Linked DNA regions of Mus musculus. The protein of the gene in region 3 binds, or shares a complex with, the protein of the main gene of each other region. Links are inferred from orthologs where the notes say so. Each region holds a gene or a part of one and is shown on either strand. Other genes may lie near its edges.

Evidence for each region. Proteins that work in one complex are often made in the same cells at the same time.
Region 1: the proteins of Cckbr (region 3) and Gnai2 are in contact, whole or in part, in a cryo-EM structure (PDB 7F8V), measured with the Homo sapiens proteins. The link is inferred for Mus musculus from reciprocal best matches to the Homo sapiens genes CCKBR and GNAI2. Residues at the interface, in NP_795344.1 of Homo sapiens: Thr87, Thr89, Arg152, Ala155, Ile156, Pro159, Leu160, Ala162, Arg163, Val164, Thr167, Ser169, Ile241, Gly248, Leu249, Lys328, Val331, Leu335, His394, Arg396; in NP_002061.1 of Homo sapiens: Glu28, Ala31, Arg32, Glu33, Val34, Lys193, Leu195, Thr220, Phe337, Thr341, Asp342, Ile344, Ile345, Asn348, Leu349, Lys350, Asp351, Cys352, Gly353, Leu354, Phe355.
Region 2: the proteins of Cckbr (region 3) and Gnaq are in contact, whole or in part, in a cryo-EM structure (PDB 7F8W), measured with the Homo sapiens proteins. The link is inferred for Mus musculus from reciprocal best matches to the Homo sapiens genes CCKBR and GNAQ. Residues at the interface, in NP_795344.1 of Homo sapiens: Thr87, Val88, Thr89, Asn90, Glu151, Arg152, Ala155, Ile156, Pro159, Leu160, Ala162, Arg163, Val164, Trp165, Gln166, Thr167, Ile241, Leu245, Gly248, Leu249, Val331, Leu335, His394, Arg396, Phe397; in NP_002063.2 of Homo sapiens: Arg30, Arg34, Asp35, Arg37, Arg38, Leu40, Ser198, Val199, Phe341, Lys345, Asp346, Ile348, Leu349, Gln350, Asn352, Leu353, Lys354, Glu355, Tyr356, Asn357, Leu358, Val359.

Annotation. Positions count from the first base shown.
Region 1 is NC_000075.6:107,632,417-107,636,840, forward strand, and holds the start of Gnai2 (guanine nucleotide-binding protein G(i) subunit alpha-2), read right to left. Parts: upstream 2,928-4,424; 5' UTR 2,802-2,927; coding exon 2,684-2,801; intron 1-2,683. UniProt on the Homo sapiens protein: Guanine nucleotide-binding proteins (G proteins) are involved as modulators or transducers in various transmembrane signaling systems.
Region 2 is NC_000085.6:16,131,314-16,135,610, reverse strand, and holds the start of Gnaq (guanine nucleotide-binding protein G(q) subunit alpha), read right to left. Parts: upstream 2,928-4,297; 5' UTR 2,286-2,927; coding exon 2,150-2,285; intron 1-2,149.
Region 3 is NC_000073.6:105,424,507-105,428,715, reverse strand, and holds the start of Cckbr (gastrin/cholecystokinin type B receptor), read right to left. Parts: upstream 2,986-4,209; 5' UTR 2,692-2,985; coding exon 2,541-2,691; intron 1-2,540. UniProt on the Homo sapiens protein: Receptor for gastrin and cholecystokinin. The CCK-B receptors occur throughout the central nervous system where they modulate anxiety, analgesia, arousal, and neuroleptic activity.

The sequences.
Region 1 (4,424 bases), on a different chromosome or scaffold from region 3:
GCCCCCCAAATCTATCTGGGCCTAGCTAGTCTGTCTGGTTAAAGTGTGTGTGTGTGTGGGAGGTGTCTAGGGGGTTGCCCTGCAGGGAGACTGGTATCAGCTTCTCTACTTGCCTGACCAAGCTGCCAGGGGAAACTATCTTGCTAGAGTGTACCACATCTGCCTCTGCCCTGGTGACAGTGACTGTGCCCGCCTTCTGGCAGGGATACAGGGTATGGAGGGAGACATTGTGCGGCGGGTGGGGCAGCAGGCGTGGTTCTGGCTGGGAGGGAAGATTGGCACTTTCCCAGTTTAAGTCCCCGTTGCCTGGACAGAGTCTCCGGCTATGTAGAACTGGTGCCCAGAATCCCTAACCTGCTACAGCTGGGGTCCTGTTGTCACCTTATTCCTTGATGGGGAGTTGATTAGCTCAAGTCAAGATCCCTTCCCAGGTAGCAGTGACAGACTGGTCATGAAGACTGGGTTGTCCATTTCAGACAGAGCTCTGAGCCCTTGGCTGCACACCCTTTGCAGGGTCTTAGTCTCACCGCGGGTACTCCGCTGACACAAGGCAGGAATTCCATTTTAGAGGAAGAAAAGGCCAGAGGGACAGGATCCTGGGATGGACTGTTGTGTGAGAAAGTGCTAAGCCAGACCCTATATCACTGGCTACTGCCAGCCTAGGGTAGGAAAGGATACCAGGTATCGCCTAGCCGGGCCCAAAAGCTGAGCTGAGCTCTAAGGGACAAGCCTGTCTGCATAGAGGAAACCGTGTGTTACAGAACAGGCCAGGCGTCCTGTGCAGCCCCCTTCCCCCTGCTCTCTGGTCCAGATCCACATCTCCTTGGCCACCACAATAACTGCCAATAAACCTGGGAGGGGTTGGTAAGGGGCTCCGGGCTGGGCACTGGGAGGTAGCGGTCCCGGAAGTGCCCTCCCTAGGCCCAGCAGCAACGGACATTCCGCCGCTGCCGCTGCCGCCGCCGCGTCGACACCCACTCACTGCTCGCCGCACTCGCAGCAGAGACAGGAAGAGGCAAGCGCCCAACGCAAAGCAGCCCAGGAGGCTGGGCCGCCGCCCCTTCCCGCCCCTTCTCTTCCTCCCCGCGGCAGCAGTGGAGCGGATGCCATTTTGAAACCTCCGGGGCTGTGCCCCCAGGCCGGGTCCGCCGGGACAGTCAACAGATGGATCCATAAAGACGTACATGTTTCTCGGCCACAGGCCTGGCCAAAAAATAAAAAATAAAAAAAGCCAGGCTTTTCACAGCATGCAGGCCCCCAAGGCGGCCCTGGGGCTGAGGGGCCACACCCCCCCACATACTATCCAGCCGATTACGCTGCTGCGCGGCTTCTGCTGCTGCTAGGGCCTTGCTCCCCACAATCCAGAGGAACTGGTCTTCTCAAGTCAGGCTTCCACAGGGAGCCACTCTGACGACCGGTGTGGGTCTGGACACAAGCATCAGGCCCACTGCCTCTGCCAAAGCCTAGCTGGGATGCTTGAGCGCACACGGGGCTACAGGCAGCAGACTCCTTACCAGCCCCTCATTCAGCTTGCCCACCACCCCCACATCACAGTATTCCTCTGGGGAACCAACAGGTCTACTCAGTATCCTAGGCCATATCCCTGGCGTTCCAGCCCCGAGTGTGAGAAGCCCAGCAGCCGTCAGCAGATCTCTCCAGGCCGGCACACAGGGGCAGCAATATGTCGGTTGGTTCACTACTTCCACTTCCCCCCCATCCCAGCAGCCACCATCTTCCTTGGCCTTGGAAGTGACAACAACCCTAACTCCTCCATGTTCCCTCCTATTGCCCAGACTCCCCTGGCCCTGGCCCAGACAAGCCTTGGATCCCAGGGAATGGAACTTCCCGCAAATGCTAGAGGCCTGGCCCCTGTTTCCCAGTGTGACTCTCAGAGTCAGACCAACCTCTTGCAAAGGGTCTGCCCAGCTCAGCCTAGGCCCACCCCAGCCCCTGGTGCCCCTCCTCCTATCAACAAGGCCCACCTGGGGCAGGAGGGCGCAGAAGCAAGGGAACGGCAGAGTGTGAGAAAAGCCTTAAAAGAGGGGCAGATGATTTGGGGGTTGATACCTGCAGAGAGAGGGAGGGAGAGAGACAGAGAGAGAGAGAGAGACACACACACACAGAGAGAAAGAGAGATCTGGTGACCTGGAACAGAGGCCCTGCGGGGAATCCTGCTACAGAGAACTTGAGAGTAGTCAGTTTCCCTCTTAAAGAGGTTCTTGAAGGGTCAGAGTGCAAAGAGGGAGAATACAGATCCCAGAGTAAGGAAAAGAGGGAGTGGGTCGAGGCTTGACCAGGGTCCCAAGGAATGCTCGTGCCAAGAGAAATAGAACAGGTGGGGCTTGAAGGTGGGAGCCGGCAGGGTGCTGAGGGTTTAAGAAAAGCCTGAGAAAGTGCGGAAATACACGGCAGGGTCTGAGTTCTCTTGAGACTGGATAACAAGGGGGGGGGGAGATAGTCATACAAGGTTTGGTGTGTGGGATCTGGGATGAGTTGAGGGTCTGAATGAAGTCTGGACTAGGATTATAAATCTAGACCAATCCAGAGTTTCGGATCTTAAAAGGGTGGCTCCTACTGGTTTCAAGCGCAGGTGTAGGGTGCAAGGCCAGGCTGAGCAGTTTCAGGTCCTTGTCTGGGGATTAGCGTAGAGAGTCAAGGGTCCCAGAACGGGGCGCTGCCTCACCTAACAGAAGCAACTTCACCTCCCGCGCCGCCTTCTCGCCGTCCTCCCGCAGGTTCTTGTCGATCATTTTAGAGCGCTCGGCTGCCGCCTTGTCCTCGGCGCTCACGGTGCAGCCCATCCTGCCGTCCGCCGGCCCGGCCTGGCCCCCACACGGCCCACGGCCCGGCTCGGCCCCGCCCGACCCACTCCGCTCCCACCGCCGGCCCTCTGCGGGAAGCTCTCAGGTCCGCAGTTCCGAGCGACTGCGGGAGGCGCCTTCCCGGCCGCCGCGCACCGACGGCGGGGCGGGCCAGGGGTGGGGCCCGGGCGAACCAAGCCCGCGACTGGGCCGGGGCGGGTCTGGAGGAGGGGCCGAAGGAAATTTAGGGATGGTGATTGGTTGGAGGGCGGAGCCAAGGGAGAAGTTAGGCTCAGTCCAGCCTTAGGCGCAAGCTGAGAGCGGGGCCGCAACGAGGGAAGACACCAAGGGTAGAGCTAACACAGGCTTAGGCCTCTGGGCGGGCTGCAGGAGGAGCTAGTCTCCGATTGGATGCTGAGAGCCTGAGGCTCTGTTTCTGGACTGTAGGACTAGTTGATCTAGTAGCCCAAGGGTCAGGACTACCTGCCCTCGCCACAGGCCAAATAGAAACCAGGACTCTGAGCATTTGTGAATTATGAGAGTAAGATGGAGGAGGTGTGTCTTCTTCACTTGCTAAAACTGAGCCTATAAACTTATTTGGAGATCTACTAAACTCTGCGGAGGGTCACATGATCTCTTTCTGGACCTCGATTTTCTTTAAAGCAGCGCCCCCTCCTCTTCTGTGTAGGTTGCACCACATTAAAAACAAAAAGAGTTCACTGCCGCCTTTACACCTTTGAGTGGACTATCTTCTGTCATCTAAACGTCGTCCTTTTGCCTGATAGGTTGGGAACCTTTCTCCTGCAGGCAGCAATCCGGGGCTTCAACCAGAGACCAATGAGACTGGACTCTAGGAGAGATAGACAAGAGAGAGTTGTCATTGGACTTAAGGAAACAAACGTTGCCATGATCCTATAATCTGTTCCTTCCATCCTCTGTCAGCTTCTAGAGGCTTCTTCAGTTCCATGTCTCTTCTGGGTAGTGGCTGTGATCCTGTGGCTGTGCAAAGGTGGAAGTGGAGCTATTTCCAATCTTTGTGATCTGCTTTTTAAGAGGGGCCTATGACCCACCAACTTTGATTGGACGATTGAAGTGTGCAAGGTGTTCTGAGTGGCCCCAGACTAAAGCCAGAGAAGGACACTGCCATTAAGAGTTGGTCACAGGGCTGGAGAGATGACTCAGCGGTTAAGAGTGCCGACTGCTCTTCTGGAGATCCTGAGTTCAAATCCCAGTACCCACATGGTGGCTCACAACCATCCTTAATGAGATCTGACACCTTCTTCTGGTGTGTCTGAAGACAGCTACAGTGTACTTACATGTAATAATAAATAAATGGGGGGCGGGAGGGATGGCTCAGCGGTTAAGAGCATTGACTGCTCTTCCGCAGGTCCCGAGTTCAAATCCCAGCAACCACATGGTGGCTCACAACCATCTATAATGAGATCTGAGACCCTCTTCTGGGGTGTCTGAAGACAGCTACAGTGTACTTACATATAATAATAAATAAATGTTTAAAAAAAAAAGAGTTGGACACAGCCTCCTGTGAGAACAGCACTACCTGGACAAAGCGCGTGTTCCAGCTTCTACCCTCCAACTTGCTGGCTTGCTCTGGAGTGTCCGTGT
Region 2 (4,297 bases), on a different chromosome or scaffold from region 3:
AGACAGAGAGAGAGAAGTCTACCCTTAATGTCTATCATGACTACACAAACAGTGTGGATACCGCACTTGGGAAAGAAGCCCCTCCAGGCTGAGGGCAGCCGTGGTTGCTAAGGATGTCCAGGGCGCCCGCTTCTGACTGAGAACTGTATGGTTTTTAAATGTTGCTCGTGGATGTAGGTGCTGAGTAAGTGGCAGGTTTCCTACCAGCTCCAACAGCCTGTCATTGACGGGTGAGGTGGGGCCAGGTTAAACCCTGCTCCATCTAGAATCAGTGCGGGAGGGCCGCCACACACCTACAGCTACCACTTTCTTAGCTGGAGAACTGGGGGGGTTTCCCCCTCGGGAAATCACTTCCACGTTCGTTTTTTAAAGCATGGTATATTATTAAAATACACAGCATGTAATTAAGCATCTCTCTAAGTGTATTCCCCTCTCAGGCATGTAAACCTAGGCCCTCTGACAAACCTAACTCATAGCTGCTGGGAAACCTGGAGCTGTCAAATTTCAGGCAAATAAGTTTGGTCAATGAGACCTCAAATGCCCTGTTCCTAGCTAAACACAAACATATGAAGACTATAAACAAAGGAAAATTAAAAGCCAGGTCTAAGAGAAAAATCTCTAAAACACGTGTCTTTCCTCTTAATTGTATACTGGATCAACATATATTTATCCCACTTGCCCTTGCTTCTCCCTTCTCAATTAAAAAAAAAAAAAAAAGATAAGACATTCCATTTTCAGCCTTGAGAAGAAACAGAAATGATGAGGGTGGACAGGCTTACCCAGTTTCCCCATTGCTCTGGCTTATTCCCCCTGAAACCCATCTTTCTAGTCAGCCCCTTGCCTTCTAGTCTTTATGAACACATTATATGTGCACATTTACCTAACTGGATTTCAATATAAAGACCTTGGTTAAGGGAAGGGAACAGCATTGGGAACCATGTGTGATTATGATATTTTGCTCCTGACGATAAGCAAGCCAGGCCCCAAGGTAATGGGTTCTTGGAGCCAGCACATGGAATGCTCCAGATAGCAAAAAAAAGAAAAATGAAAAGAAAAAAACGGGGGGGGGGGGGGTGTCTTCTCAAATCCCAACAATGCAACATTCTTTTCTTACAGAAATGTTTGTGAAGCGGTAACAAATAAACACAAGTGCAGACATTTTTCAGGCCTGTTCCTGCAAAGCAGTTCTTGCTTCCTACCACAATAGCAATAGTTATGTCATGCTAGCTTGTACATGGACCCTGATCGCTTGATTCCGAACACTCTCTCGGAGATAATAATCAATATAGCTCCTATTTGAAAATAGCATTTTCTTGCTAATTTCATGTTAAGGGAGAATGTTGGGTTGTTGTTTTGTTTTGTTTTGTTTTTTTAAACGCGATCAGAGGGAAATTTTCTCTCACTCTTCCCGTTTTTTCTTGGAGCCCAGATGGCAAGATACTAAAATGTCCGTTTTAAACAAAAGGTTTCTGTTTGTTTCCAGGAGAGTAACTGAGAGGCTGCGCTGGTTTCCAGTAGAAACTGCTGTGAATTCAGGCATACATCTGGGTCGCCTCATTAAACAAAAGACACCCGTCTGCTGTCAACAACCACACAGTACAACACTCCCGGATCCTTCATCTTTATCCGGAAGGAATGGTTCATAGAGACGCCTGTCACCATCCACTGGCCATGCAACTCTCTGGGGTCACTCCTGTCAGTGGCCTGGTGGCTACAGTATAGCACATTTGGGCTAGTCTTCCCGCCCCGCCCCTGCCCAGTACGTTAACCCGGGTTTATTGGAGCGCCAGCCAAGGCTTCCTCAGCACCTTTCCTAGCAGAATCCAGACCGGGGTCTGCTCCCCGTTTCCACCCTTCCCTCTCCACCCCACAACGCGCCACAATGGACGCTGGCCGACCACCGCACTGCACGCCATTGCCCACCCGCGCCGCTCGCGCGGACGCTCAGCCGTCCCGCAGACGCTGTGCACCGAGCACGGCCCTAGCTGACACCAAAGGCGCACGCCGCGGATCCGCGCCCGGGAGCCCCGGCCCTCGGCCCCTGGGTGCGCGCGCGCGGGTGCGGGTGCGGGTGCCGGCCGGGGACGCGCGTGGGGAGGGCAGCGGCGAGCCGGGGCGGGGGGTACCGGGGCCCAAGGGCCGCACTCACCCAGCAGCAGCAGCTTGAGCTCCCGGCGGGCGTCGCGCTTGTCCCTGCGCAGCTGCCGCTCGATCTCGTCGTTGATCCTCCGGGCTTCCTTGGCCTCCTCGCTCAGGCAGCACGCCATGATGGACTCCAGAGTCATTCTTCCGAAGTGCCTCGCTGCAGCCCCGCCGGCGCCCTGCTCACACGCGCGCACACACGCCCTCCGCCCTCGCTCCCCCGAGGCAGCGGCGGCCGCGGAGCCCCGCCGCCCGGGCGCGCGTCAGGGACGAGCTCAGGGGAGCCGCGGTAAAGGAGGCGGCCGGGCCCGCAGCCCAGGCGGGCCGGGAACGAGCGGGGCCGGGAGCCTGGGACGCGCGAGGAAAGGCCGCCGCGCCCCGCCGCGCTCACACGCCGCCTTCTCGGAGAGCGCGCGGCCCTCCAGGCGCCGCCGCCGACGCTGCCCAAGGCTGTGCGCCCAGCGGCCCGAGCTCATCCACCGAGGCGGCCCCGCAGCGAGCGACCGCCGACGGCTCAGCGCGCCCGGCGCGCCCGCTCCTCGCCGCCGCCGCCGCCGCCGCCTGACTCGGCTCCGGGCGCCCTCGGCCTGCCCGCGCCCACTCGGCTCGCTCGCAAACCGGGCAGCCGGCCGCCGCGCGCTCCCCGCCTCCGCCCCCGCCTCCGCCGGACGCCCACCCGGCCCGATTGCCAGGCGCGCCGCGGCTGCTCAGTGCTCGCCCTCCCCCTCGCCACACACACACATTTTCTCCTTTCTCTGAACTGGAGCACAGATCCGGGAGGGGGCGGCGGCGGCGGGAGGAGGAGGAGGAGGACGGGCGCAGGGGGCGGGCACAGCGCAAGGGGCGGGACCGCGGCCCCTCCTGGACAGCTCGCGCTCTCCTCGCCCCGCCCCCGACTGCCCGCCCCGCTCGCCGGCCGCCTCCCTCTGTGCGAGCTCCGGCGCGGCGGTCACGGCCGTTGGAGCGGGTCCGGCAGGCGGACACCGACCTTCGGCTGCCGCTGGGCTGCCGGGGCGTGGTCGGCGAGAATATGGCGGCCTCGGCCTGCCCTCTGGCCGCTGGCGCTGCGGGAGCCCTGCCGGGAGCCCACGCGCTGCGCTCCGGGCCTCTCTGCAGCCGGGCTGCCCTTTCCTATTTCTAAAACGCCATTGGGAAGAAGCTGCCTCGAGTGGCCTCTGACCCAAGATCCATCTTAGAAGATGGGATGCTCTTTACTAGGGAAGAGAAAGGATTGTCACTGGCTCTCTGGGGGTTACTGAGGGATCTGTGGACGGAACTGTCCTCCTTATCTCCAGATAGGAATCTGAATCCTAAAGAGAAAAAAAGAAGCTGCCCAAGTTTCCAAGAGCCTCCTGATCCGTTCCAACTTTTCGGGTCACTGAGGTGGTTTCTGTTTTCCTACCAGCACACTACGTTAAACAGTCTGGTAATGTAGGATTGACCCTTCTACACCGTGACAGTTAAGGATGACTTCTGGGAGAACGCCAAGTAGTACAGAATGAAATGAAAGAGACAGATATGGTGGCTCACACCCATAAACTCCACACTCCACAGGCTGAGGCAGGAGAATTGCTTCCTGAGCAGTATGAGACCTTGTAGCAAAGAAAAGGGGGAGGGAGAGAGAATAAAATAGGAGAAAGTGAAGAAACTAGTATCATTGGAGCAAAATTCTATTTGGTTTTTATACTTCTAATTTGAGGTGGTTTACTAATAAATAGAAAATATCTTGTTCATTCAAGGTTGTATTGGGGAAAAAAAAAGGTTCATTCAATTCAGTGTGTCTCAAACATCAAGAGGAGAATCGTACTATTTTTCCTGACTTTATAGATAGAAGTGGGCGCCTCCACATTTCATGCTTTTCATAAACTGCTCCTGTTGATCTGGGCTGCAATGTAAGATCATACCCATTGCTGCAACTTAAGAATGAAACAAGTCTTGGACTTCAAGGTCTCTCCTCTGGTTTGCCTTATTCTCCACCACCACCACCACCACCCCACCCCATCCCCCACCCCCACCCCCACCCCCACCCCCACCCCCCCACCCCCGTGATACACTGCATGCATACATTCAGCCTCTATGCCAGGACTCAGATGGAGTTGTGGACGTAAAGTCTGTATGTAATACTCTGCTTTTAAAAAAGATACCTTGCCAAAGA
Region 3 (4,209 bases):
CAGTCCTTCTCCTTCTGAGCCATGTCTTGGTGTCCACATCACTTCCTCAGAACTAGTTATGATATATAACCAACACTGCTGTGTGGCTGTTTTGTTCATCTCTGATGCATCATAGCAGTAATTGGTACCCCTCACTCGACCTCAGGGACCTCAGCTGAGACTCTTCTCTCAGTTTCTGCAAAGACACAGCTACTGTTTGTGTTTCATTTGCATCTCCTTGCAGACCTTCCCTCCTCTGCCTTGCTTTTAAATGCCAGTCTTCTCTTGGGTCCTGTCTCAGCTTCCTTGCTCTCATTTTACACAATATTTTAAAAATATATTTTGCCTATTCCTATGGTTTCCAGTATACCCCTCCCTCTAGTGAAGACTTTTCAAGTCTCTATTTCCAGCTCAGATCTCCAAGGTAAGTTCCAGATCCCAGGATTCAACAGCTTTGGTGAGTAACCATCATTTTTTGAACACTATGGGTTCCAAATTGAGTTTATAATAATCCCTTCTTCCCAAACTGCTTCTGCTCCTTTGTTACTAGGTGCTGAATGCTTGTAGTTGCAGGCAAGTGCTGTCATATGACGTGCATATCCAGCCTCTTCTTGGTTGTCTTTCTGTGATAGGCCATCCACATCCTTTCAGTTTCCTAAACCAGAAACTGGATTTCATCCCTTGACCTCATCCACCCTCTCTGCTTCTAACCAATGTTCAGGGTTTTATTTTTTTGACGACATTTCCAGAAGTGGCTCGTGGATCCATCTTCTCTGCATCTGTACTGCCAGCCCCTCCTTCTGAGCTAGCATCATCTTCCAGCCAGATCTATGTAATGCAATAGTTTTCTAAAGTATCCTTCTGCATTCCATCTCAATCTCAACACCATGCAATTAACTCTGACAGCATACACTATTCCGTGGATCCCAATGCCTCAGGATAAAATCTACACACTATAGCAAGGGCTATAAAGCTCTCCAAATATACTCTAGGCTGGTCTAGCCTAAGTATTATTAGCTACCTTCAATGGTACATGTTCCAGTCATTCAAAAACTGTGTTGTACTGAACAAACATGCTATGGCCTTAAACTTGAAGTTTTTTAGATAGGCTGTCTTCGCCTAAGACATTTTATGCCTCTTCTGCTCAGTCACTTAGCTCTTTGTCTTATTTCCCTACTTGATCGTATCCCTATCTCAGGAAACCTGCCTTCATCCCCAAGGGCAGAGCAGGCTGGAGATGCCCCTCTTGTATATACACTGTCTTTCTTCTCTTCCTGCTGCCACTCCTGGCTTACTTGTCTGTTTCCCCTAGAAACTCGGAGCAGGGCTGTGTCAGTTTTGTTAAACTCGACCCTTGTTGCCTAGCACAGTTTCTGGTTCAATAAACATTTTCTGAATGAAAGAGTCTAAGTGACAGTGGGTAAAAGCCAAACTGAGAAAGCATGAATTGTTTCATAAGCTGAGTAAATATGTAGATTTATAATTTATTTCAATGTTTACATCTTGAACATAGAATCCAACTCCTTCCCTTTCCATTTACTGAACCCAAGCTCCTAGGTTCCACCTCCCACCCCCAGTGAAGTTACCAGACCCCCAATTACTTTGGATGTCCACATCCCAATCAGACCCTCTTGTGGGATTTCCAGGCAGTGATTGTTACCCGTGGTCTCTGTCCCTGTGTACTTGGCTGCAGACTGCTGAGACTGCAGTCTGTGTCTAGTTCATTCCGTGTCCCCAGTGCTAAGCCTAACAAACGTTCATTAAACATTGCAAGCAAATATAGGGATGGGGGGGGCATACATTTAAAGATGTTCATTGAAGCAATGAAGATGCTACTGATGGAAGGAATGAGTCATTTTGAAGCTGGGATGAGGGAAAGCAGTACGAAGGGAAGGTGACACAAAGGAATGGGGTGACTGTTGCCAGGGGAAGTTAGTTCTAGGCAAGTGAGAAAAGGGATATTTGGGGAGCTTTGGAAGGGACTTGGGGACCTTCAGAGAGACAGAGAAAGCACATAGGTGGATGAAGGACCCTGGGAGCAGAGGAGTTTGGGGACAAATGAAACAAGAAAGGTAACTTCCCCCAGTGCCTGCTAAATTCAGATCTGAGAATATTTCATTCGGAAGGTTGGGGTAGAGGGGGATGATTACAACTCTTATTCATGCAGTCCAGAGAGCTTCTACCCTCACCGGCCCAGCCTCCTTCTTTTGCCTTTCTTTCCCTGGTTCCTGCCTCTCCCTCAGTACTGGCTCTGTAAACTGGAAAAGAAAGCTAGACCCTCTGACAAGAAGAGGTCCTTGCTTCCCAGCTGTGTGATGCTTAACTTGAGAATGATCTAGGTAGCTAATGGCAGGGCAAGTATGAGGCCAGGGCTCTGAAGCATGGTGTGAAGGTGTTGGAGTCAGGAGAGCTTGGGAGCCAGTGTGTGGAGGGGAGGGACCTAGGTGGGAGCTGAGGAAGTCCTATCAGGGTAAGCTATGGGCAGCTGACAGTGTAGAGGTCAAAGGGGTTCTCGAATAGTGCTGTGTGGTGCAGTGAGAAGGGCTTAGGGAGGCACCCACCTCTGGTCCCGGTTCCGCGGATACGAGGGGTCTCGCAGCTGAGGTTGCCGGCGCTACTGCTGTTGAGGAGGGAGACACCCGGGCGGCACAAAGAAGACCCTGACCCGGGTCCTGGTCCCTGCAAGCTGCGGTTCAGCTTGAGCAGATCCATGGCTCCTGTGAAGTCCCACTCAGCTCCAACTAAGCTAGCTCCAGCACCGGTTCCACCTGCTCCCGCGGCGCTGCTCGCTCAGGCTCCCGCCCACCACATCGCCAGCCCCTCCTAGTTTCCGCCCCCTGCCCTGGCCCCTACTCCTCCACTCTGCCACCAGCCTTCCCTTAGACCCAGCCGGTCCCAAGCTCTGGGCGGCTTTTGTCCCACCAGGTGACTCTTGGCGCGCCTCCTTGGCTCCAGAGTTCCGTGCGCGCGCTCCTGGGTGACTGCACTCCAGGCAGGCTCGCCCCCGCGCTAGGTTCTCCTTCTCTTAGAAATGTCTTTTCTGCCCACCTCTCATACCAATGTCCCCAGTTCTGGAAATTCGTGTGTGTGTGTGTGTGTGTGTTTACACGTGCGCCTGCTGGAGGGGATGGTGTGATGGGGTAGCTGCTGTGCGGTCCAGCATCTTTCTTTGGTGGTTTAGAAGACGTGGTGATGGCGGTGGTGATCCGGTTTGAGTCCCAGGGTCCCCGCTACAGAGCAGGTGCCTTAGTTTGTCTGGAGCCGCAGTTACCGAGTTCTGCCGCAGTGGCCGCAGTGATAACCACAGTATCAGCTACCTTAGCTCTTTCGTGAAGGCTAGCTTCTGCCTTTGTACATCCCACCTCCTATCTGAAACCCCAAACCCAGGCCTTTTCTTCAAAGACTCGGAGGGTCCTGGAGGGCCGCAGTTGCTCACAATGGAGACTGTACAAGGAAAAGGGCTAGAGTGGACTAGGGCACTGGGGGCGGCGGGGAATTGAGGTGAGAAATGCACTAAATGAACTGAGTTGAGGTGTGGTAAGGGTTCTAGTTCTGGCCCTGACTAGGGTGAAAGATAGGGAGCAGGCAGCTTGGTCATCTACCTAGTCTCTAGGCAGCGTCCACCCCCACCTGAAACGATGATGCTCCATTTGCCCTCAGCACGGATACAGCAAGGGAGTAGGGTGCTGGGTTCCCATGAGAGGGGATCAGAAAAGGACTGGGTCACTGGAGTGTGGCGGGGGCGGGGTAGGGGTTGGACAAAACTGAAGGCGCCAATGAAGTGGATTCCGCTTCCTGAGGCAGGACTGGCCTCCTCTACTTTGTGGCCTTGTTTCGACCAGTGTCATCCATTCCAAAGAAATTCTAGTGTGATGTGAAATATCTTTTGGGATCCCAAAGTGGCTGTCAGAGGTTGGGGGGGGGGGGTGGAGACAGAGGAAGAGAGAATTAGAGTGGGGGTGGGGTAGTCTAGATACATGGGGAATTCGGATTCAGTATCCTGACTGTTTTGGAAAGGACCTGATCAGTCAGCATTGAGTTCATAAGGACTGCAGAGCTGGAGGAGGGGCTAAGCCTGGGATGTCATCACCCCCTCCCTCCACTGTCACCTCTGCTTGTCTGAGAGCCCGGGATCAGAGGAACCTGGTGTTTGCTCAGCTCCAGCACAGGTGGCATCTCTGATAATCCGATGAGCTTTTCCCACATTGGATGACGGTAGCACTGAGAAAC